Alligator mississippiensis: one gene and its partners. The protein of the gene in region 3 purifies or fractionates together with the protein of the main gene of each other region. This does not show direct contact. Links are inferred from orthologs where the notes say so. Each region holds a gene or a part of one and is shown on either strand. Other genes may lie near its edges.

The links. Proteins that work in one complex are often made in the same cells at the same time.
Region 1: the proteins of STX12 (region 3) and VAMP7 purify together in Homo sapiens (affinity purification with mass spectrometry; 3 studies listed by BioGRID and IntAct, counting the BioPlex papers as one, with this or other methods). This does not show direct contact. The link is inferred for Alligator mississippiensis from reciprocal best matches to the Homo sapiens genes STX12 and VAMP7.
Region 2: the proteins of STX12 (region 3) and NAPA purify together in Homo sapiens (affinity purification with mass spectrometry; 4 studies listed by BioGRID and IntAct, counting the BioPlex papers as one, with this or other methods). This does not show direct contact. The link is inferred for Alligator mississippiensis from reciprocal best matches to the Homo sapiens genes STX12 and NAPA.

What each region holds. Positions count from the first base shown.
Region 1 is NC_081831.1:35,659,449-35,667,462, reverse strand, and holds the start of VAMP7 (vesicle-associated membrane protein 7), read left to right. Parts: upstream 1-5,013; 5' UTR 5,014-5,130; intron 5,131-5,385; exon of another isoform or gene 5,386-5,405; intron 5,406-5,456; exon of another isoform or gene 5,457-5,556; intron 5,557-8,014. Other genes in the region: DNA-directed RNA polymerases I and III subunit RPAC2, read right to left, coding at 4,110-4,148. UniProt on the Homo sapiens protein: Involved in the targeting and/or fusion of transport vesicles to their target membrane during transport of proteins from the early endosome to the lysosome. Required for heterotypic fusion of late endosomes with lysosomes and homotypic lysosomal fusion.
Region 2 is NC_081838.1:1,790,894-1,798,758, forward strand, and holds the start of NAPA (alpha-soluble NSF attachment protein), read left to right. Parts: upstream 1-4,864; 5' UTR 4,865-4,954; coding exon 4,955-5,052; intron 5,053-7,865. UniProt on the Homo sapiens protein: Required for vesicular transport between the endoplasmic reticulum and the Golgi apparatus. Together with GNA12 promotes CDH5 localization to plasma membrane.
Region 3 is NC_081829.1:16,711,407-16,719,170, reverse strand, and holds the start of STX12 (syntaxin-12), read right to left. Parts: upstream 3,042-7,764; 5' UTR 2,984-3,041; coding exon 2,881-2,983; intron 945-2,880; exon of another isoform or gene 1-944. UniProt on the Homo sapiens protein: SNARE promoting fusion of transport vesicles with target membranes. Together with SNARE STX6, promotes movement of vesicles from endosomes to the cell membrane, and may therefore function in the endocytic recycling pathway.

The DNA of each region.
Region 1 (8,014 bases), on a different chromosome or scaffold from region 3:
CCCTTGGGAGCCCATTCCAGACCTTGGCCACTCGAACTGTGAAGAAGTTCTTCCTAATGTCCAGTCTAAATCTGCTCTCTGCTAGCTTGTGGCCATTATTTCTTGTAAGCCCCGGGGGCCCCTTGGTGAATAAACAATCACCAATTCCCTTCTGTGCCCCCGTGATGAACTTATAGGCAGCCACAAGGTCGCCTCTCAACCTTCTCTTGCGGAGGCTGAAAAGGTCCAGGTTCTCTAGTCTCTCCTCGTAGGGCTTGGTCTGCAGGCCCTTAACCATACGAGTGGCCCTTCTCTGGACCCTCTCCAGGTTATCGGCATCCCTCTTGAAATGCAGTGCCCAGAATTGCGTGCAGTACTCCAACTGCGGTCTGACCAGCGCCCGATAGAGGGGAAGTATCACCTCCCTGGACCTATTCGTCATGCATCTGCTGATGCACGATAAAGTGCCATTGGCTTTTCTGATGGCTTCATCACACTGCCGACTCATGTTCATCTTGGAGTCCACTAGGACTCCAAGATCCCTTTCCACTTCCGTGCCACCCAGCAGGTCATTCCCTAGGCTGTAGGTATACTGGACATTTTTCCTCCCTAGGTACAGCACTTTGCATTTCTCCTTGTTGAACTGCATCCTGTTGTTTTCTGCCCACTTGTCCAACCTGTCCAGGTCTGCTTGCAGCTGTTCCCTGCCCTCCGGTGTGTCTACTTCTCCCCATAGCTTTGTGTCATCTGCAAACTTGGACAGAATACATTTCACTCCCTCATCCAAGTCGCTGATGAAGACATTAAAGAGTATCGGTCCAAGGACCGAGCCCTGCGGGACCCCACTGCCTACCCTGGGGGTCTTCAAGAGGAAGTTAGATAAGCATCTAGCTGGGGTCTTCTAGACCCAGCACTCTTTCCTGCCTATGCAGGGGGTCGGACTCGTCGATTTATTGAGGTCCCTTCCGACCCTAACATCTATGAATTATATGCATTAAGGTTGCAAACAAGGATGCACTTTTTGTAGAAAACAATGATTAAATCGAGGCTTCCTGACCAGTGATTTAAATTGTTATTTAAATGACACTTTAAAATCGATTTGAGTTAAATCAAATCTACCTTATTAACTTGTCAGCAATATTATTTAGCATCATAAAAGATGTTACCAGAACAAACTGGCATCACAGGCTGTGGTGCAGATAAACACTGGACAAAGTTATTCTTGTTTCTAAAGAGGAGAAAAGAAATCCTAACTCTGAATCATACTTTCACACCTCTTGACAAACAGCTTATTACAGGGGATGGGCAAGCAAACACAAAAACAATCCCTGGTAGAATAGGTGTTGGTTTTATACATTTCTGTAAATTACACTAGGTGCAAGATGACTAGATCTGCAGCTCTCTCTTGGTAATGCATACAGTACAGAGCTATTACCACACCTTGCCACTAAGCAGAGGGGAAACAGTTAACAGATTATTTTCTTTTAGCAAACAGCTACTACCCTGAGACAGATGTAGACAGATAACACCCTCAACTTCCACTGGTAGACTATGAACCTGAATGTGGGTCTGGATGGCCCCCCAATGCTTCTGCAAATCCCAGAGAAAAAAAAAATTCTTCCCTTACATGCAGGGATGCACTGACCTCCAAGTAATTCACTGCTGCAAAGGAATGCAATTTCCCCCCATACACATGTGTAATGCATTTTTAGAAGCATACATTAACCATTTAACTGCACCACTGCTGAGCTGGATCAATTAAAGTTAGCTACATAATTTTCATACCACTTTCAGCTCCAGTAGACATTTTTCCAAGAGAGGATGTTTCAACTGGATTTAGGTTACTGGAATCAGAACTCTGGGTAGAGGTTATACCTTATTAGACCAACAAGATATTTGCAAAAAAAATTCTTTATTCACAAGCGTTTGGGTACACACACACTTCTTCAGGCATAGGAAAATGCAAAGATGGTAAAATTTCTCCTAGGCAGAAATGCAAATTCATATTTCACAGGACAGTTGAAGGTATAAGTCACAGGGGCGGGCAAAATATGGCCTGTGGGCCAGCCCACCAGGCCATTCTATCCTGCCCATCGGGCCCCTAAAAAATTTAGAAAATTAATATTTATCTGCCCCTTGCTCCCTGTCATGCGGCCTTTGATGGCTTGCCAAAACTCAGTAAGCAGCCCTCCACCTGAAATAATTGCCCACCCCTGGTATAAGATCTCCTGGTTGGCAAAGTTCATTTTGTGCAAATTTAGCTCAGATAAAAAGTTTGAGCAGTCTATTTACCTTGAAGTTGTCTGATAGTAAGTGGTATGTTAAAGAGGTGCATCCAAGAGAGATTTTTTGGGGCTGATACCAACAAATGATGCTTAAAGATGCATATCATCCGATACGATCCGATTTCTGATACGCAGCCCAGCAGCAAAGAGCAGTGTCTGGCTGGTAAGTCTGTTGTGATGGAAGGGGAGGTGGAAGGGAAGGGGCATGGCAGGGGCAGATCGAGGCCCCTGTAGTGAGGGAGGGAGGGGGAGGGAGGGAGGGAGTGGGGCTGGGGCAGATGTTGCCCAGCCAAGGCAGAGTGGGACACAAGATGGAACCATGGCTTGTTTGGGGGGTGCAGGGAGGGGGGGCTCCCGCTGCTGACAGCACCCCAGGAGGACTCAGGGGGGCATGTCGCCCCACATCTGCATGGGAAGGAGGGGGCTGCCACTGAGAGCTGGAGCAGGGGCTGCGCCAGGCTCTTCCCAGCAGGGGCTGAGCTGTGCTGTGCTTGGGGTGGGCGGCAGCAGCACTGGGAGAGGGGTTATGGGGTGGGGGCTGCAGCCACCCCAAAATTCACCGTAGCCCAAACCCAGCGCCACTGCCCACCCTGTGCGGTTAGCAGTCTGACCCAGCCCCTGCCAGGAAAAGCCCAAGGCAGCCCTGATCCCACGCTGCAGTGACAGCCCACCCCTCCCATGCAGATCTGGGGGGCACACATCCCACCCGTGCCCTCCTGGGATGTGCATAGGGATGGGAGCCTCTGCCCCACCTCAGACAAGCCATAGCTCCACTTACCAGCTGGATGCAGCTCTGCAAGCTGCCAGGCTGCGCTCCTCACCACCCACCTGCTGCGCCGCCACATCAGGCAAAAAAGCCGATTTCCGACAGTCAATTTTTTTTATATCAGTACAGATCTGATATTGGAACAATGTATCAATGCACCTCTATGAATTATTTCCTTCTGGTTATGATGTTTCATATTTTGCAAGAGGATGGGTAAACAATCAAGTACTAAATAAATGCGCAGTAACAGTAGCTCCAGCGAACACCTTTTTAGTGACATTACTGTGCAGTAGCCTAATAATACTGGGCAGTAGTGTACTGGCACTGTTTGTGCTGCAATGGGCTACCGCACAGTATTATTAGGCTGTTGGGCTGTTAGTGTCTCATGTAGATGCACCCGCTGTCTCCAAAATGACAACAGGCGAGAGATTAGGAGCAGATGTGCAACTCCCCTGCGGCTCTATAGCTAGTCTCTGCCCCTCCGCCCTCTTGCTCACTCCAGTTCCAAAGCACAGGTTAGATTGAGGGCTAGATTTTCCACACCTTAATTAGCAATGTTGGGAATGCTTAACTTGCATTAAAAAGATCCCCTTATTCATAAAAAAAGTTCATGGAGATGACAGATACTAGAAGAACAGTAAGTCATCTCATAGTTGCAAAAAGACCTTATGAGCCTCAAACCTGATGCAACTGTGCTCAGACCCTTTAGGAAAATTAACCCAGCCGGGCTCCTCCCTGGGCCAGGCCGCTTGCTGGCTACAGCTGCAGGTGCAAACAGGCGAGCAGCGCTGTCGGGGGCGCGCGTTTCCAATTCCCCGTTGCTTGTCTAGCTCCAGCTCCTGGCCCCGCCCCCCTCTCATTCAAAGAGAGAACCAGAACCAGCGCGAAACCAACCCCTTGGAGATGCGACAAAACACCGCCCCCCCCCGCCGCGGTGGTTACAACCCCGGGGAGGCGAGCACGTGGCGCGGCGGCGGCGCGCAGACACCCGCGCTCCGGTCCCGGCCCCGGAGCACAGCGGGTCCCGCTCCGCGCGGCGGCTCCGCCCCGCGCCGGGGGCAGCGGCTGCCCGCACTCACCGTCTCCAGCACCGGCTTCCTCTCCACCTCCTCGGCCATGGCTGCGGCGTGCGGGGCGGGCGCCTGCCCGGGCCGACCCCTCCGGCGCCGGGGCCGCTGGGAGCTGTAGTCCGGACCGGGGCCTGCGGTCTCGGGGAAGCCCCAGCTCCCGGAGTCGCGGGATCCGCCGCGGTCGCTGTGGGGGAGCGCGAAGGGCCTTCCGTCTTCTGGCCCGGGACGGCGCCGGCGCCTCGCCCAGTCCCGCGCCCGCTGCTCAGTTTCCGATTGGGCTGGGCCGTGAGGCGCAAGTGCGGGAGCCGGGGGAAGCGGCACTGGAAGTGGCTCGCCTGCTGCCAACCTCCTGGCTCTTTGGCGAGCCGCCTGGGCTGCAGCCGGGGCGCAGGGGAGCCCGGCACCGATCCAGGCACGGGGGGGGCTGGAGGCAATTGGGGCCCTGTTCCCACAACCCGGGGCCTAGATCTGACAGCACAGGGGCAGCAAGGGGCCCGTACTGCCAGCCGCCGTCGGCGCTGGAGCCGCTTGCGCCGCGCCCACAGGCCGAGCACCCGGGTCAGCCCAGCCCAGATCCTGCCCGGAGACCACGGGCTCTGCCACAGGGCGCGCAGCAGAGGCGCTCCCGGAACGCCCGGGCCCGACCGCCTCGGCTCCCGCCACCACCGCGCCTTCGCGGCTGCATTTCACGTGGCTCGTGTGTGAGGTCGTGCGTGCGGCCTGCCCCGGCCGGCAGGGGGCGCTCGGCCCCTCCCGCCACCTGAACTACCCTTCCCAGCAGGCAGCGCGGCGGCCCACACGGGGGCCGCTTCCCAGCAGGCAGCGCGGCGAGCGCGGAAGCCGTCCCGCTCTCCCGCCCCCTCCCGAACTACATTTCCCGGGAGCCCCCGCGGCGTCGGGAGCGCCCCTGGCGGAAGTGCACGTGCCGGCCGGGAGGAGCGAGCGCCGCGGCGAAGGGGCGGGAGCAGATAAACAGCGCGCCGGGCGGGGGCTCCTGCTGCAGCCCTTACGTCGCCGCTGGCCGGCCCGGGTGAGCCTGGCCCTGCGTGGGTGGGGGAAGTGTTAGCCCCGGGCGGGGGCGGCATCGTCCTGTGCTAGCGGCGCGGCGCTCCTCGGCCCCTCGGGTGCTGCCCTCCCCTCCCCCCCCGCGGTCAGTTGCTTGCGCAGTGTCGCTGTTGGGCGGCGGGAGGGGCTGCCTGGCGGGCCCCGGGAAGCAGCTGCTGGGACAAGTGGAGTGGGCTTGGGAAGGGGAAGGTGAGACGGAAGTGCGGGGGGCCGTGGTGTCGGCTGATGCTGGAGCCCGAGGTAATTGGGTAACGCCGTCCTCTACCCTCCCCCCAATTTCACAACTGCTAGAAGAGACTCCGTGTTGTAGCCAGGCACCTGCATTGAGCAACATGTTCCCGCATTAGCATTTGGGTTGCTGGAAGCAAAAACCAGAGGGCTGTGGAAATCGGTGAGCTTGTGATTGGGCACGTGGGCTTTTATGTTGGAGGAGTTGGAGAAGCCAAGCGAAGGCCTGCTGTGGTGGGGAGCGAGCTAGCTAGCGAGCAGCAGGGTTTTGGGGGGGGGGGGGTGTTGTCAGCAGAGGGTTCTCTCCCTTCCGCAAATGTCTTGTAAATTCTTACCTGTGCTTTATAATCCTTAATCTTATATTGGGGATTGTTAAGAACAGGATTGTAAACAAAACCAGAAATATCTTCCTGCCACTTCATAAATCCCCAGTGTGTCCACACCTTGACTACTGTGCCCAATTCTGGTCCCCTCGCCTCAAACTCTATATAAAGAACTAGAGAAGGCCTGGAGAAGGGCAACAAGGGTGATGAGCAGCACGGAGCGGCTTCTGTATGAGGAGAGACTATTCAGTTGATAAGAGATGCTTGTAGAAGGACATAAGGGTTTACAAAACACTAAATGGTGAGGAGAAAGTAAATGGGTATTTATTATGTACTCTCAATACAAGAACAAGGGGTCACAAAATAAATTTAGTAGGTAGTAAATTTAAGACTAACAAAGGGAGGTTCTTTTTCACACAGTGTGGCATTAAAGTGTGGAGCTCATTGCCACCAGATGTTGTGGAAACTGCAAGTTTAGCTAGGTTCAAAAAGGCATTGGACAAATTGTTGGAGGAAAAGGCCACCAGTAGCTATGGAGCTTAAGAGGGAGGGCTACAGCCCCTGAATTGGAACTTCCTGGACCTTAAGTGCTGGAGGCTGCAAGTGAGAGCGGCAGTGAAGAAACAAACCCTGGTCAGACACAGTTTGCTCTCCCTTTCAGCTTCAACACCCTGCCACTGTGTGAGATGGGGACTTGGTAAGATGGACCCATGGTCTGATCTAATAAATAGCAACTCCTATGTTCTTGTCTCATGAAATCAAGACTTGGGTTTTTTAACAGAGCAGTAACAATATTTTGGTGACATTTAATACACAGTTCCTTGGAAAACTCTTTGGTTTGCAGTTAAGCAGCTGGATCTCACCAAGACTGTTGGTGCCTGAGAATGAAACTGACCTGTTTAGTTAACCTTTTGAACTGGATGTCAGTTGATATCATTTAAGCTATAGGTTTAAATAGGCTACAAAATCAGGGGCAGACATTCACCTGGTTAATGAGACCTTCAATAGTCACATTTTTTTAAAGAGGAAAAACTGAGAAAGAAGTCTTCATGTGTTAGAAGTACAGCAGTTGCTCTTTAATAGTGTAATTCTAGCCTATCTAGCAAGTAGAAGCTCTTTGATTTACAAGTGGAATAATTTTAAAATGAGTAAAGGAATTAAGAAATTGAAGAGTTAAAAGGAACCATTGGATCACTTTTGGGTTTAAGTTGCCACTTTTAAATTTTGTTGCAAATGTTGCTCAAAGAGCCTCTTGAACAAGGCCTGGATCTGATTGGCTAACTGCTCGTATGGCAACATACCATATGTTGATTAGTGCTGGAGAAAACTTTTTTTCTTGACCTCAGGAGAGTTCATAGAGTACTTTCCCCAGTACTCTCTACTGTTACATCTGTTATTTCTTCTTCCTCTGTCAAAATTCTGGCCAGGATCTTCTTACTTATAGAAGACAAATGTGCTCCTCTTGGTATGCGAGTAATTAATAATGGTCATGTTCTCTTTGTAGTGGTCCTTTACCTTTGCTAGGACAAGAACTAAACTTTTCAACACTTGGGTTGTAGCTCCTTGTAACCCAAGCCTTTTAGAGTGCTCCTGCTTATTTTTATTGTGTCCAAAGGATACATTCCAGGCTATGTACTCTGTGTAAGGGTGACAGCCTGTGTTGTAGAAGGCATTGTCTCCCACAATTTCTTGTTGCTTTCCTTGCCTCCTGAATTACTTCTGTTCACCTTGGTCTTTTTTCAAAGACTGCTGGGAAACTTTCAGCTATTGCAGAAAGCAGTAATTCTGCTTACTTGCTGATTCTTGCATTTCTGCTTTGACTGTACAGGCTACCAACTTGTTTAATACACTGATTTCCCCCCCCCCATTCTGCAGGGCCCTCCTGGAGGAGAGGAAGATGGTAAAGGCTGGTCTTACTCCTTTCTGCCTTATCTTGGGCTGGGAGTTTGTTGCCTTTGTGTGTCTTAACACCTATCTAGTTGGAGAGCTTACTTGGAGCCTGAATTAGTAGGTTCAGATCTTCATTCAGGAAGCTTTGATTTGGGTCTTGTAGAGCATGGCTATATCTACATTTCTGGTGCCTAATGGCTATAAGTTTGCCTATAGGCTAGGTATACAATTCATAGATATAACTATGCAGATAAGATTTATCTTTGATTTTCCTGACTGTGAAAGACCCGTTAGAAGTTTAACCAGCACTTAGAAATATTAAGTTATTTGCCTTTACTGAAAGTAGAGGAGGTGAGAGGAAAGACTTTCTCCTGACAAGTGAGAGAATGGAAGTAGTCATTCCAGCTG
Region 2 (7,865 bases), on a different chromosome or scaffold from region 3:
GATCGTACGCTGATGCCGGAGCAACAGATCCCACCCGAGAAATTATTCTGCAGCTTCATCCCCCCCCCCTTCCCCCCAAGGATTGCTGTTTCAACCTTCCCTGCTTTAAAACCCTGCAAACTTCCGACAATACGTGTGTATCTATCTATCGATAGATAGATGTGTGTGTGTACACACACACACACACACATATATGTATATATACACATGCATATATATATATATATATATATATATATATACACACACACACATATAGGAGTGCACGGATTGAAATGAAGTTTAGCCAGATGAAGAAGAAAACAGGCATAGGTCATCTCATACTCACTCCTTTGTTACCATGGGCATGATACGAGCTGCTGGGTTGTTTGCAGTCTCAGCTCTGTGCCGTAAAATGGGATATATCTAACCTTTCATCTGGAAGTAATTCATTTAGGGCTCCTCTCAAAAGTTCAAGCCAGGATGGAAAGGGAGCTGATCTGAAACGGAGGAGGCTGGATGCCTGTCAGAGCCCCGATGCAACGTGTGCAGCGAGTGTGTGCTTGCTGGCAGACAGGGAGGGCCGCGCCGTTTGCATTTATAACAAAGCTGAGTGCGGAGACGGTCTGATTAATCACGATCTGTTTTGTTGCTGAAGGACAAATTCTGGCTGTGGGTGCTTGGTTAATAGGGCGTGCTCTTGGTTTTTTTATAACAGTAAAGATGATTCATCATTGGAAGCGGTGGCTTCTGCATCTCCTGAAGTCTGCAGACCGAGCCGGACCGTCTTGGATCCTTTGTTGAAACGCATGGGATTGGACTCAATAAAAAGATAAAATCCTCTTGACTGGAGCTGGACTGTTCGCAGTGGCGACAGGACAAGGAGCAATGGTGTCGCGTTGCAGCAAGGGAAGTTGAGGTTGGATGTTAAGAAAAACTTTCTCACGAGGAGGGGATAGTAAAGCACTGGAACAGGCTCGACTCATGTTAGTAGAGAGGTGACAAAATTGACCTTTAAAGCTACGCCTCCGTGAAGCCGGGGATTTGACCCTCACTAACAAACATAGGGAATATGCAACTCGGGTTGAAATATCTAGCGGTGGAGTTTGCAGCAGCTCGGTGTGTAGAAGTCAGGATTTCTTAGGTTCCCTTAGTAGCTGCATCTAGCTATAGCCACTGCTTCTACATCCCTCAAATGGGGAAGCTGCTGCTGTCACGCACCGTGACATCTGGAGCCGGGCTGTTCTTAGTGGGGGCGGATGACTGAACAAGGAGCAATGGGCGCAAGCTGCAGCAAGGGGAAGTTGAGGTTGGTTATTAGGAAAAACTTTCTCATAAGGAGAGTAGTAACAGGAACAGGCTACCCAGAGGGGTGGGGGGAGTCTCCGTACTTGGAGGTTTTTAAGACCTAGGTAGGCTTGTGCAGGATGATGTAGTTGGGGCTGGTTCCGCTTTGAGCAGGAGGTTGGACTAGATGTGACCTCCGGAGGTCCCTTCCAGCCCTCCTTGTCTGTGTTTTTATGATCTACTGAGTGAAAAATCTACTGTGGCAGCAGAAGTATTTTAACTCAGGAAGAATGGTCGTTTGCAAAAGGCTAGAGAGGACTTGTCTTGTTACCGAGCAGCCCCTTCTCTGCAGAGGATGCGAAGCCTCCAGTGGCAGTGCTACCACTGCCCCAGCCCATATCAAAATGCCTTGTGGGTTTGACGCCAGGGACAGGTGGGAGAACCGGCTGCAGACCGGGGTCTGCTACTGCCAAGTGTCTGCCTACCCCCCTCCTCAGGTCGGGGACTACATGCAGGTCGGTCCCCCGGGCAGCATGGAAGTGCCTCTGGAAGCATGGGTTTGATGCGGAAGCCAGTCAGGCCATGTGGGACAACTTGCCCCAGACCGTGGTCGCCTGCCAGCAAGTGCCCGCCTACCCCACCCTTAATGGTCGGGGACCACACGCAGGTCGGTCCCCTAGGCAGCTCAGAAGTGTCCCCGGAAGGGAGCGGGAAGCACCAGGGAAAGCAGGATCATGCTAAACCTGATAGCGGAAGTATCTATGGAGATGCAGGATGGTAATGAAAGCATGATGACGCCCCTTTACGAAGCCATGGTGCGTCCACACCTTGAACACGGCGCCCAGTTCCGGTCCCCGCACCTGCAAAAGGATAGAGAAGAACTCGAGAAGGTCCAGACAAGGGCAACAAGGATGGTCAGTGCTACAGAGGGGCTTGCCTAGGAGGAGAGACGGCCGAGGCCAGGCCTGGTCAGTTTAGAGAAGAGATGCTTGAAGGGAGGCAATAAAATATTAAATGGGAAAGAGAAAGTTGATGGGAATTTATTATCGACTTTCACCAGTCGTGTCCTGTGCGAGATTGTCGACAGCAGCCGTTTAGCAGCTGTTGCCGATTCGTTAGAAGCGCTTCTGCTAAGGCCGACAAGGTTCTTGGGGGGGGGGGGGGGAAATCCAGTATTGTTTATTAGACCAGTTAAAATAGTTGGAAAAATGATTTGTTGCAAGCTTTCAGGTTACAAACACCCTTCTTCAGGCTTATTTACCAGGCAAAAACCGAGGGGTCACAATAGGAAACGAATAGGTAGTTGGTTTTTCCACCCAGGACAAATGAAAGGGGGGAGCTCGTGGCTACCAGGTGCAGCGGAAGTAGAGAGTTCATCCTGATCCATGAAGGGATTGGACCCGTTTTTGGAGGAAAGGGTCAGCGGGAGCGCGGGAGTGTGGGGCACGGCCTCCAGAGCAGAATATCCTCAACCTTCAGCGGCGCTTGTACACGTGACATAAAGTGGCCGCAAGTGGGAGAGGGACGGGGGGAAGAGCCCTGCTCAGACCCATGCTTTGGGGTTGTTGGTCTAAGGACATAGGCAGGCAAGGGTTGTGGGGAGATGTGATCTCTTTTATAGATTCATAGATGTTAGGGTCGGAAGGGACCTCAATAGATCATTGAGTCGACCCCCAAATTATTTATTATTATATGTAGTTGGTCTAATAAAAGAGATCACATCTACCCCAACGCTCAGAGCCAGTCGCTCGCCCTTCCAGCTCCGCTGTCTGCCGCCACGGGGCGCAGGAGACCGGGCAGGACTCGCCTAGGGTCCGACCCCGTTCACGGCTGCTCGGACGCTCTTGGATAACACACGGTTTCCATCTTGGAAGACGCCCATCACCCTGGCCCTGCTGAAAACCGACCGAGGCGTATCGTAATACAGGTGTCTGCAATCTTGTTAGAAGACCGCTGGACGTCCTCATTCCACGCTTTAATTGCCCTTGGAGGGGACGAGCCCACGCGTGGCCCAACTGCAGAACGACCCGGCCCCTCCTTTAGGCCGTGTCACGCGCTTGTGCACATGCCGGTGGCGAGGGTGTTGTCATACGCTAATTGGGCGCGGACGTGAGCCGGCGCTGTTTTCCGGGGGCTGCTGTTCGGGAAAAGCAACGGATGCTGCCTTATCATGTCTGCACGTAACCCCCGTTAGTCCTAACGAAGGCAATTTAACATTGGAATTTGCAAGCTGCCAGGGCTGTCCATAGGGGTTTGGTGCCTTGAGGGTATTTGCTCTTATAGGGGAAGCCCCTATAGGGACTTCCTTGCCTAGAAGCCGAACGTCCTCTCCCCTTGCATACGGCCCTGTATAGCAGCTGTTCTGGATAGGAGCCTTGCTGTATAAGGGTAGGAGCCGAAGCCAACCCTGCCCTGTATAGGGACCCCCTATAGGGGCTTTTCCAGAGAGGAGCCCAAGGATACCCATACTGTACAGGTGTTTAGTTCCAGCAGACGCTAAGGATTCCCTCTTCGCTCCTGCCTCATATAGGGGCCTTTATAGGGGCTTTTCCAGACAGGAGCCTCGGTGGGTAGGGGCTTAGTTCCATAGGAGCCTAAGGATCCCCCCCCCACCGTGCCCCATATAGGAACCCCTATGGGGGCTTTCCCAGACAGGAGCCCAAGGATACCCTCGCGGTGTAGGGGTGTAGTTCCATAGGAGCCTGAGTCCCTCCTCAACCCTGCCACGTAGAGGGACCTATAGAGGGGCTTTTCCAGGCAGGGGCTCAGGGACCCCCCTACCGCACGGGGCCTTCGTTCCATAGGAGCCTCGGGACTTCTCCCCCAGCTCTGCCCCATATAGGGACCCTTCTAGGGGCTTTTACTCTATAGGTACCTAAGGCTCCCCTGCTGGATAGAGGGGCATCCGCCCTATAGGAGCTGCTGTTGGGGCCTCCTTGGCAGTACTGCCATACTTTATCTAAACCTATATAGATACAGGGCTATATCTATAACTATCTGTCCATATAGATATCTATCTCTATGCAGATATCTAGCTATCTAGATATAGATACATATGGATAGATACAGATATATTGATATGTATCTATATATAGATATACAATATATCTATATTGTATCTAAATATATCTAGAGACAGTATCTAGATATATTTTATTTTGTTATTTTTTATTTTTACTCTATATAGATAACAGTAAAAATAAAAGTACAAAATAAAAATATAAAAAAACTTTTAAAATGTCGAATTGAGATGTTATAAAAATATAAGACGAAATATAGGACTTGATAAACCATGTTTAAAAATTATAATAAAGTATACATTTGTTTTAAAAAGTATACTTTATATCTATTCCCCGCCCCCGAGCGCCTATAGCCTTGCACGCCCCCCCCCCCGTGGACATCACGTGACTGTCTCCAGACGCGCCGACTCACTTCCGCGTCACGTGAGGGAGGAGGGGGCGGGGTTTCCCCGACCACGTGCCGGCAATACAGCGTGCTCCCATCACGTGACGCCTCGCATCACTCCCGCCCCTTTCCCTGCTTGGTCACGTGACACAACCCCTCTTCCCTCCCTCTTCCGCAGAGTTCGTCCCGCCCCTTCCGGGTAGTGACGTGCACGGCCCCGCCCCCTCTCGCCGGCGTTGAGTGTCGCGGCCCGGCCCGATCCCGCTCCCGCGCCGCCGCCATCATGGACCCGGCCGGGAAGGAGAAGGAGGCGCTGCAGCTGCTGGCCGAGGCCGACAAGAAGGTCCGCGGCTCCCAGTCCTTCTTCGCGGGGCTCTTCGGGTGAGTGCGGGCGGGGGGTGGGGCCTAGCGCGAGGGGCGGGGCCTAGCGGCGGAGGGTGTGGCCTAGGGGGGCCAAATAGGGGGGCTGAGGGGTATGCAGTGGGGGTGGGGTGGTGAGATGGGGGGGCTGGGTTTGGGGGTGGGGCTTAGTTGCAGGGGGGCTGGGGGGGACCTAGCAGGTTTAGCAGGTTTTGGGGGGTAAAATGGGGGGGCTGAGGAGATGCTGGGGGGGCGGTGTTTAGACGGAGGGGCGGGGCTTAAGTTTGGGGGGGGCATTGGGGGCACTCGGGCCCAGCCCTAGACCTGCGGTGGGGGGGGCTGTCTTTGGGGTGAGGAAGATGGGGGGGGGCAGCTTGAGACATGATGTGGGGGAGGGGCCTAGTAGAAAAGGGGGTGGGGCCTAGCTGGAGGTCTGGGATCTTCGTGGGGGGGTCCCAGAGGCCCAGGCCTGGTGGGGGGGTGTTGTGGGGATGGGGGGGCTCAAGCTGGGAGGGTGGCAAGGGGGGGGTCGCAGGGGGCTGGGGGGGTGCAGGGACTGGGTCCGGGGATTGCTCGGGGGCAGGCTGGGAAGCTGGGTGTGTTGTGGGGGGGGAGGGGCATTGCTCCATGCAGCCTCGTGGGGGGGGGCAGGGGACAGACCCCCCCCCCCTCCACCTGCAGCCTCTGACCTTGCCTTGGGGTGACCAGCTCCCTCCCCAGCCTGGCAGGGGGGGCACGGTGTCACAGCGCTCGGCTCAGCTGGGGGGGCCTGGAGGGGCTGAGACCCCCCCCCCGCCCCCGAGCGAGGAGGGCAGGACTGGCCCAAAGAGGAAGCTTTAGCTGCAGCGCGTGCGGGGGCCTGGCCTCGTTGCTATTAGAGCAAACGTTTTGTGGCCCCCGCGGAGCTCGAGACTCGGGGTAACGATGGCTGGCAGCAAACCCCCGGGGTGCGGGCAGCCAGTTGGGCGCCTGCCTGCTAAATGGGAGACCGGCTCCGGCCGAGGGAGACCGTGGCGCGGCCGCAGATCAGCCCCGAGCTCGGGCAGCGAGTGCAAACGTGTGCAAACGTGAGGCCGACTCGGCAGGGCCCCAGGGTGGCGGCGCTGCCTTCGGGTCTGGGGCCTGCGCTTCCACAGGGAGGTCCGAGGCGGTGGGTGGGGGAGGTTGGATTTGGGGGGCAGGGTCGGGGAGACGCCGCTCGGCACAGCGTGCGCTGGGCAGGGCCGTGTGATTGCTCGCAGATAGCGGGGAGCTGATATTCATCGAGGCGCGTGGGGGGGTGATGACTAGGACGGAAAGAGGAGATGAACGGCGAGGACTGACGGCGAGATTTATCACTGCAGAAATACCTCCGCTCCCGACAGGCCTGACGCAGTCACGGGCGCGAGCTGTCCCGTAGCAAACGCCCCCCCGTCGTTTCCCCGGCCCGAAGGGGGAAGCCGACGTGCGCGGCGGTGGCGGTGGCGGTGGGGAGACCAGAGATAGTAAACAACCTCCATGGCTAAGTCATGCGGTTCTCCCCAGGGGGAGGGGAAAGCTGGCGGGCCGGTGGATTTAGTCCTGTCTCAGCCGCTGGGTGGAAGGGCAGCGGCCTTGCCGGAGGGCGAGGGGAGTGCGTGCAGTTGCAGTGACGAGGGATCTGTTATCTCAGACCAACATGGCTGTACAACAAGGAACACAAAATGCTAAAACTCATGGTTCGGAGGCGATACCTTTCATTAGACTGACTGGAAAAGAGCCAGAAAGTGACCTTCGTTTGCCAGCTGTTGGGCACATGCAGCCTTCTTTGGGCTGAGGGGGATTGAAAGATGGTCAAAGTCCCCTTGGGTAGAAAATAAACTACAGACATCCATCCACCTTCAGCTTCCTTTGTGCAAAATGAAGTTTATTTTCTACCTTAAGGGACTTTGACCATCTTTCATTTCCCCTCAAGAAATTACCTGTTACCGTCTTGAATTTCCCCTTGCAAAGAAATTACCTGTCTTTGCAAGCCCAAAAGCTGGCCAAGAAGGGTAATTTTTGGCTCTTTTCTGGTCAGTCTAATAAAAGGTATCACCTCTCAGCCAAGGTTTTAGCGTTTCTTATTCCTCATTGCGGTGGCTTTGTCCCTTGAGGATCGTGATGTTTTTCACTGGAGCCCCTTGATGCCAAGCGGGACTGGGGAGCTGACGTAGACTCGTCGAAGTTAGGGGCTGGAAGGGACCTCTCGAGATCATCGGGTCCAGGCCCCCTGCGCTCAGGTCGCCCAGCACACGTGAAAAGCTTTGGGAGGAGCGACCAGGGGGAGGCTGGGGCTGGCGTCTTGGGCAGGAGAGGGAGGAGGTGACTGCCGATGGGAAAAGGGGAGCCGCGCTCCCCAGAAGAGACTGTTCTTCCTCTGCCTTCCCAGGGTCTGTACCTGTGGCAAGCAGGAAGGCAGCTCAGCAGGCCAGTTCCTCTCGCATCCGACTGTAACCGCTAGGTCTGCAAACCCCGATCTTGTTCATAGCGTCTAGACGCAGCCAGCAAGACAGCTCCCTGGAGCTCTTCTCTTGCCAAACGTGCTCCCCCCCCCAAAGCATAAGAGCAGCAGCAGATTGCAGAAGAGACAGCAAATGACAAGCACGCAGCAGCTGCAGCTGAGATTTTGGTGGTGGGACCAGGAAGGTTCTTTAATTACTCTTGAGTTGAAAGAGAAGCGGGGGAAAACCCCCCACCCCCAAGGCATTTGTCAGTGCAGAGCCCTGTGAATTTGCGCTGCTTTCTCTTGGATGCTTTAAACGATGTTCCCCTTTTAAAAACCACCTTGAAGGTGTTTTTATCGACGCCGGTTTCCCTAGTGCTGCTTTTAGCGA
Region 3 (7,764 bases):
ACTGAATGAAAATCTAATCAGCTTTTGCCTTCTTCACCTCTATACAAAAGAGTAAGTAGTAGTAAAACAAATGTTTACTAAGAGATCTGAGTTTTGCTCTCATCCAGTTCATCTGGCAGCAAACCTTTTGGATCCTCAACACAGAGGACAGCATTTATCTAAAAATGAATTATCTACTGCTCTCGATACAATTATGGAAGTAGCAAAGAATGCCCCCAACATCAACGAAATGGCAATGTCTGTCATCATGGCTAAGTACCGTGCAAAAGAAAAACTTTGGAGCAAAAACATCACTTGGCAGGCAGCAGAGAATACATCTCCTATCACATGGTGGAAGGGATACTGTAACACTAGACTGCTGTCCACCATTGCTCTAAGGATCCTAACCATTCCACCAACAGCAGCTTTTTGTGAACGGAACTGGAAGGCTTTTGCTCAATCAAGACAAAAAAAGAGGAATACACTAACAAACGAATGCACTGCTAAGCTTGTTTCTATTTCTCAAAATCTTCTGCTTCTGCAGAATCAGTCAGAAGCACAATTAGTGAAGAAGACGTAGCGTGAGAAGTCATCCTTGCCCATAGACTCATTGGTAAAACCACCCTTTAGAAAAAGAAATGTGGTTCAAGTAGTTCTGAAACAGATTTGCCTCAATAAGTAGTGTAAGTAGTGCAAGTGATTCTACAGATAGTGAGAATGAAACTGGAGGAGTCACAATTACCTCAGTGGAAGAGAATTAAACTCTGCTGAAGTAGATGAATGGACAACTACGGCATATCCTGCACAGTTCTTTGGGTGTGCTAAAATTAGTGCGTCAACAGTTTTCAGTGCCTTTGTTTGTTTAAATTTAAGAAAAAAAATGATGTAAGGGAAATCCATGCTATTGTGTATTGTCTTTACATGTTTACAAGTATTCCAATAAAAATAATCTCTTTCCACATAAAGCTTTGAATTTGTTTGAATATAACATTTAAACCACATTAAGTGTGCTGAATTTATTTGTTTTCCTAATCAAATATTTCAGTTCAAATACTTGTGGCTATTGGGACATAAAATTAACATGGGGGTACTTTTTTAGTTCTGTTTACTAAATACAAGTCAAATAAACATGCTAAAATCAGACCATGATCTATTTAGGCATTGGAAAATTTTCCATTTCAAAATTTTCTGAAAAACCCACATCTCTGGATTCTGCCCTGCTAGAATCCAATAAATGCCAGATTTTAGAGATTTGGTGAGCTCATGAATAGATGCAATTTTTTTTTTTTTTTTTTACACTTTACTTCATAAATGAGCAACCATAGGGGTTTGAGAATGAGAGTCTTTGTGTTATGGTGTACATTATTCCCCACAAAATCACCATGATCTTATGTGTTCAACATCTGGCATCCTGTCTATTAGCTACCCATTCAGGCAGCTGCTCCCCTTTCCCATTCCAGAGAGAGAATCTGGAATTTCTGCTTGTGACGTTACAAATTAGGTTCACCATTAAGCATTTTCTTCCATAATGGACTGCCTGTTCCTACAGTCAAAGAAGGCAGCTGCTACTTGCTACAGGAGAGATCAAAGAGCTGTTTAAAAAGAGCACCCACAGAGCTTACAAGCCAAATGGGACAGATAACACAGTTTAGAAATATCACTGGTCTCAAAATAATATGAAGTCTAGCTGCATTGCTTTGTGCACTGGGGTAGTACTGAAAGCCGCATAGGGAAAGCACACTCAAAGGAGAGATGCAAGTAGAGACAGATGGCATGACACGAAAGAAAGGCAGCTCCAAGTCAAAAAGGTCAGGAAAGGCAAAGAAGATAACATGAAAACAAGGGGAAAAAAGAACCATAGAAGTAGGGCTGGAAGAACTCTCAGGAGGTCTGGTCAACCCCCCGATCAAGGTATGATCGTCCTTATTTAACCTATCCTACAAAAGTGTCTGTGTAAACTGTGCTTAAAAACTGCATAAACAACTACACACAAAACCCCCAAGAACACCCTAAGTGGCCACAGTGGGGCACTGACAATTTCCTGCCACTGCACGGGCAGGCCTATTCGTTGTGCACCGGGAGCTGTGGACCTGGCCCAAGCAGAAACAGTGGCCCCTCTAACAGCAGAACTACTTGTTCGTCTCTAAAAGAAAACATGGGCCTAGCCCACCAGGTTGCTCATCGGCCTCCCTGAGGTGGGGAGGCCACAAGAAAGGTGACAACAGAATGGAACAGGTGGAACAAAGAATGAAAAAAACAGAGACAGGAGTTCAGGTGAGAGATTCATATTAAGTGTGTCCAGTGGGGACACCGAGCACAGCGCACCGGACAGTGCCCACTGGCCCTCAAGGAGCCAGTGGACGCTGCTCAGGGGTACTCTGGGGAACGGATGAGGGAAAGGAGACGGGCCCTCCCAGCCACAGCCTCCTTCCTGGTCAAGCACGTGGCCAGCTTGGGCAGGAGGAGGTTGACCAGGAGGTCCTGGGACTGGGTGGGGCCACAGACAGAGAGTGCCTAAATAAAAAGGTGCGGGGAACCTCAATAAGAGGCTGGGCCAGGTGGGCGTGCACCAGGGTCCCTGTCAGCACACAAAGGGGGCAGGCAACAGAGGCATCCACGAAACATGATGGTGGCGTGCGGATGGCAGTGGAGCACCCCCCTAACGGACAGGCTAATGAAAGGGAACAAGAGCGCTGGGGACACGGACACGCTGCAAAACCAGGAAACCACCGTAATGACGAACACCGGAGACACCCAAGGAGGAGGACCGCGCCCCCCTCGCACAACTGCCCGATCTGACCCGGGGCCGGCTCCTCCCTGGCCCCACCTGCGCGGGGCGGCCCGGGCCTGAGGGGTGGGGCGGACCCTGAGGCCAGGAAGCCCGGGGGGGGGGGCACTCACTGCATTGCGCGATGCGCTGCACGTTGGCGCTGCAGGTCTGGATGATGCCGCCGAAGTCGCGGGGCGGCCCCGGCGCGGGGCGGGGGGCGCGCGGGCCCGACATGGCGGCGCCGGACGAGCTGCGGCCGCGGGATCAATCGGGCCGGAGCCGGGACAGCGCCGCGGTGCCACGCGCATGCGCCGTGAGGGAAGCCAACCCGGCTGGGCCCCGCCCCCGCCGCCAACGCCTACGCGCCGGAAGCGGCGGGGACCATGGCAACGAGGGACGCGCGGCGCCGCGCACGTGTTCTCTTGCGCTCCGGCCCCGCGCGGCGCCTCGGCCTCATCTCCCGCCACTGACCCCGCGTCCACAATCGCGATGGTGTCAGTACTGCACTGCATTGCCTGTCCTGATTACGTGACTGTCAGCTCGACTGCCACCGCTGCTTTCGCTCCTTTAAATCATACATTTCTATCTGCACTAGCCTCAAACTCATCTGAAATGGCATGGTAGCTGTGGAGGCCAAGCTCAGTGTCTGTCGCTGGGACAAGGCTCCGCGGAATCGCACAAGCCTGTTACAGGCCGAGCGAGGAGGGGGCGGGTGCAGGCCCCGATTCTGCAAACACGTCGGCGGCTGCAGCTCCGGGCACGTGAATAGCCTTGACTGACTTCAATCGAAAACTAGTCACTCGATCACACAGTTTCTAATGTGGTGAATCAGGGTCCCGGTTTTCTCTGTTTAAACGCCCGAAATTATCCGATTACAACCCACGCATCACTGTTTTTTCGTGATTAAAATGAAAGGCCGCTATGTATACACAGGTATCAGCTGAACGCAATGTTTTATTGATGTATTTGCAATTTTAAAGCAATTTGGAAGCTTACCTTCATCATCATAATACAATGACTTTTAAATATCTATACACTTTAGCATTTGCTTCTGGTTTTCTTTTTTTTATCATGGAAAATCAGAGCTCTCCCTGCCCCCTTCGCTCGCCGGGATGTGGGTCCAGCTGCAGCTGTTCCTTCCCCCCTCTCTCCCCTGCCGCTGCTTTGTGGCACTGAGCAGCCCTGATATGCTGGTGCCCCTCACTCCCAGCCCACAGCCTCCTGGCCCCATCAGTGCTCCTCACCCCCAAACCACAGCCCCTGAATCCCCCCAGCCCCACTGCTGCCTCTCCCAACTTGCTACCCCCCGGTGGGGGTGTGTGTGTGTAGGACAGGGTGGGATGCCTGACCATAGGCAATGTCATAGGCAACTTGTTAGAGGGGTAAGGGGGGCAGCATGTCCCCTCCTAGATTTGTGTGCCCACAGCGGGGCTTGGGGCTGCAGCCTGGCCAGACTGGCACAGGCAGGAGCTGCCAGCACGTAAGGGCAGAGCAGGACAGTGAGGCTTATTGCTGCTGCCACCAGGACTGCCGCACGGCCAGCAGTGCAAGGAGTAACAGATCAGAGGTGGGGTGGGGAGTGGGAGTGCTGCCCTCACCTCCTCCTGCCGCCACCTGCTCATGCGCTGGGCCATCGCTCTACCCCACTGCCATGGTCCAGCTGCCACTACCACTCCCCTCAGGTTGCCTGTGCTGCCCCTCTCCCCATGTCCCCTCCTGGATAGAGCAGTGGCCCAGCACAGGAGTGGCTGGTGGCAGGAGGATGTCAGGGCAATGCAGTCCCAACCACACATTACTCCTCACACTGCTGGCAGCATGGCTGGTGGAGGGTTTGTGGCGGCAGCAGCAGCAGCAATGAGTCTTGCTGTCCTGTTCCACACTCCCACGCTGGGTCCCACCCGCTGGGCCATGGAGGCAACTCCTGCCCATGCCAGTTCAACCAGGTTGTAGTCCTGTGCCTGCTGTGGGTACACAAATCTTAGGGGGCACATGCCCCACCCGGCTGGCACATCACCTATGTGTCCCTGCCCCCTCACACCTTGCCTATGCCCCCCCCCATTGACTTAGCTGTGGGAGCTGATCGCTACCACGATGCCTGGCTGCCATGTCCATGTGTCTGCATGCACTTGCATGTGGCATCCCCTTCCTGTGTTTGCCCTTCTCCTGCTCCCCTCACCCCAAGCAGCCCCTTGCAAGGGGAAACCCACTGTTTCCCATGTTTTTCTCCTTTAAAGGAGAAAATCCTTCTTTTTCCACAGTAAATAGAAAACACAGATTCCTGATGATAGTCATGAAAAACTGTTCAGATTTACATGACATGAACAGAGAGCTAGACGCAAGACTTAGAATCAAAGAAAGTTAGCATTGGAAGGGACCTCAGGAGGTCACATCTAGTCCAACCCCATGCTCAAAGCAGGACTGTCCGTAACTAGATCATTCCAGCCATGGCTTTGTCTAGATGAGTCTTGAAAACCTCAAAGGATGGAGGTTGCACCACCTCTCTGGGTAACCTGCTCCAGTGTTTTACTACCCTCCTAGTGAGAAAATTCTTCCTAATATCTAACCTAAACTTCCGCTGCTGCAACTTGAGACCATTGCTCCTTGTTCTGTCATCTGTCATCCCTGAGAACAGTACAGCTCCACCCTCTGTTGAACCTCACTTCAGGTAGGTGAAGGCTGCTATTAAATCCCCTCTCAGTCTTCTCCTCTCTAGACTAAATGTGAAATTTTTTATATGCATAAGCCAAGTGTGTATTTAGGCACCAGCACTTAGTGATTTCAGACTTTGGAGCATAAGCCTTCTTGACTTCAAACTGCAAACCCTGATGTATTAGTCTAATCTTGGGAAAGCATTTAAACTTCTTTGATTTGTGCAAGTTCAGTATATCAAAACTGGTGTGGGTTGCAAATGTAGCCAGGGCTACCTGCTTACCAATTTTGGTGTGTTTACACAGTAAAGATGTTGGTGGAGCCCCAAACTCACCTATATCATTGAACTATGAAAATCTTAGTAGGAAAAAATCAAATTCTATTAATTAATGAATACAGGTTTCTCTCGTGTTATGCAGGTTCTGTATGTGCAAATTCGCACTTATGCGATAACCCTTTTTATACCAAATATTTGTTATATGTGAAGTAAATTCACTCTCATGCGATCAGTGTGATGGAAGCTCGCAGTCGACTACTTTGTGCATTGCACTGTGGGAGTGATGTGCACCAAAATAAAGTCTAGGTGCATCCGTGATCCTCACTCATTGTCTGTGACACGTGTTTCTGTAGTTGCCATCCCCATTATGATAGTGCCCTGTGCTTGTGTACTGTCTGCTGTTGAGGAGTACCAAAATTTTCTTGTAAAAATGGTAGAAATGGGTCTGGGGGTCAGTACAGTCAAGGTCTTGGAACGTATCCCTATTTGCTACATTGTAAAGTGGGTTCCTTTTATGCGAATTCTAGTTATGTGCCATTTTCCAGAAATGCATGTACAGCATAAAGCAAGGGAAACCTGTACAATTAACTTTCTCAGTAATTTAAGACATAAAATGGTAAGAGTGTACATAACAACATAAAAATAAACTGATTATTTAATGGAGCCTGCCGGCCTGCGCTGTTCAGGGACTGGTGCTTCCCTCCATGGCAGCAGTGCCCCCTGGGACCACCTGGGCTGGGTGGCAGTGGGTGGGTGCTGCCTGGTGGATGCCACCACCGCAGAGGGAAGCACCTGGGTCCCCCACAACTCAGGGATCACTCAGCCCACCGGCAGCTCACCCCCCCGCCCAACTGTGGGGGAGACAGGTAAGCTCCAGCACCCCGTGCACCGTCTTTGCCTCTTGGGAGCACCCAGGAATGGATGGCTTGCCCCGGAGCAGAGCGGAAAGGAGGCAGGAGGGTGGTTGGGTATGCTGGTGGCAGCAGAAGGAGGCGGGGATAGTGCATGGGGTGTTGGAAGTCCACCAAGTCTGAGCTTCCCCGATCACGGTGGTTTCCAGTGCCCCATGCACCGTTGCACTTTGTTAGGTAGCAAACTAAAACACCTCGGAGGTATTTTACCTTGCTAAGTAACTAAGTCATGTAAAGCGGAATATGCCACCGAACATGTAAATAGGAATGCCATTAAAACAGAATACGCTGCCAAACATGTAAATAGCAACACCATTAATGGCACAAATGGGCATTTTGCTGCTTTAAAGGACAATTTTATTGCATGTACAAAGGCCCAATGATTTTCTTTACCCTGGAATTCAGTTTACTTATCTTTCTCTAGTTATAAGTATCAGGCCAGATTCTATTCCACTTTTTTGGTGTCTAAGTGAATTTAGGTTCCTAAGTGCAATTCTGTTCCATCCTCTTTGAATCCCTAACAATCTATTAATGCAGGGGTGCTCAACCCCCAGCCCCTGCTGTCATGTCATCTGCCTCATGGAGCTCCTCACAGGACCAGAAATTTGGCAATGGAGAGTGGTGGCACTGCTATCCTGCTGCCAAATTTCCAGTCCCAAGGGGAGCCCCAGGCTCTTCATGCTGGATTGGGCATCCAATCCCAGTGTGCAGGTCCAGACACAAGTGGTGCTAGGCCCCAAGGCCTAATCCTGGCACATGGGAGTGCTGGTGGTCCAATTCTGGCACAGGGGCAGGAGGGGATGGTGCTGCACCCCAGGGCCCATTCCTGGCAAGTGGGGGCATGAGGGGGTGGTGCTACCCCCCAGGGCCCAATCCCAGCATTCAGGGCATGGAGAGGGCAGTACAGAGTCCCAGGGCCCAATCCTGGTGTGCGGGGCTTGAACTAGGCTTGCAGACTGTCCCCATGCTATTCATCTGACCTATAGGGCCAAAAGCTTGGGCACCACTGCATTAATGTAGCTACTTCTATAACACACCATTATCTGACCCTTAACTTAAGTAATAAAAAAGTAGCAAGTAGAAGGAGGACCCATCTCCTTTTGCATTAGCAGTTCTTCTACTCAAGCAGGGTGGAATAGAACCACAGATGCCTAAGTCCACTTACTGATATGTGCCTA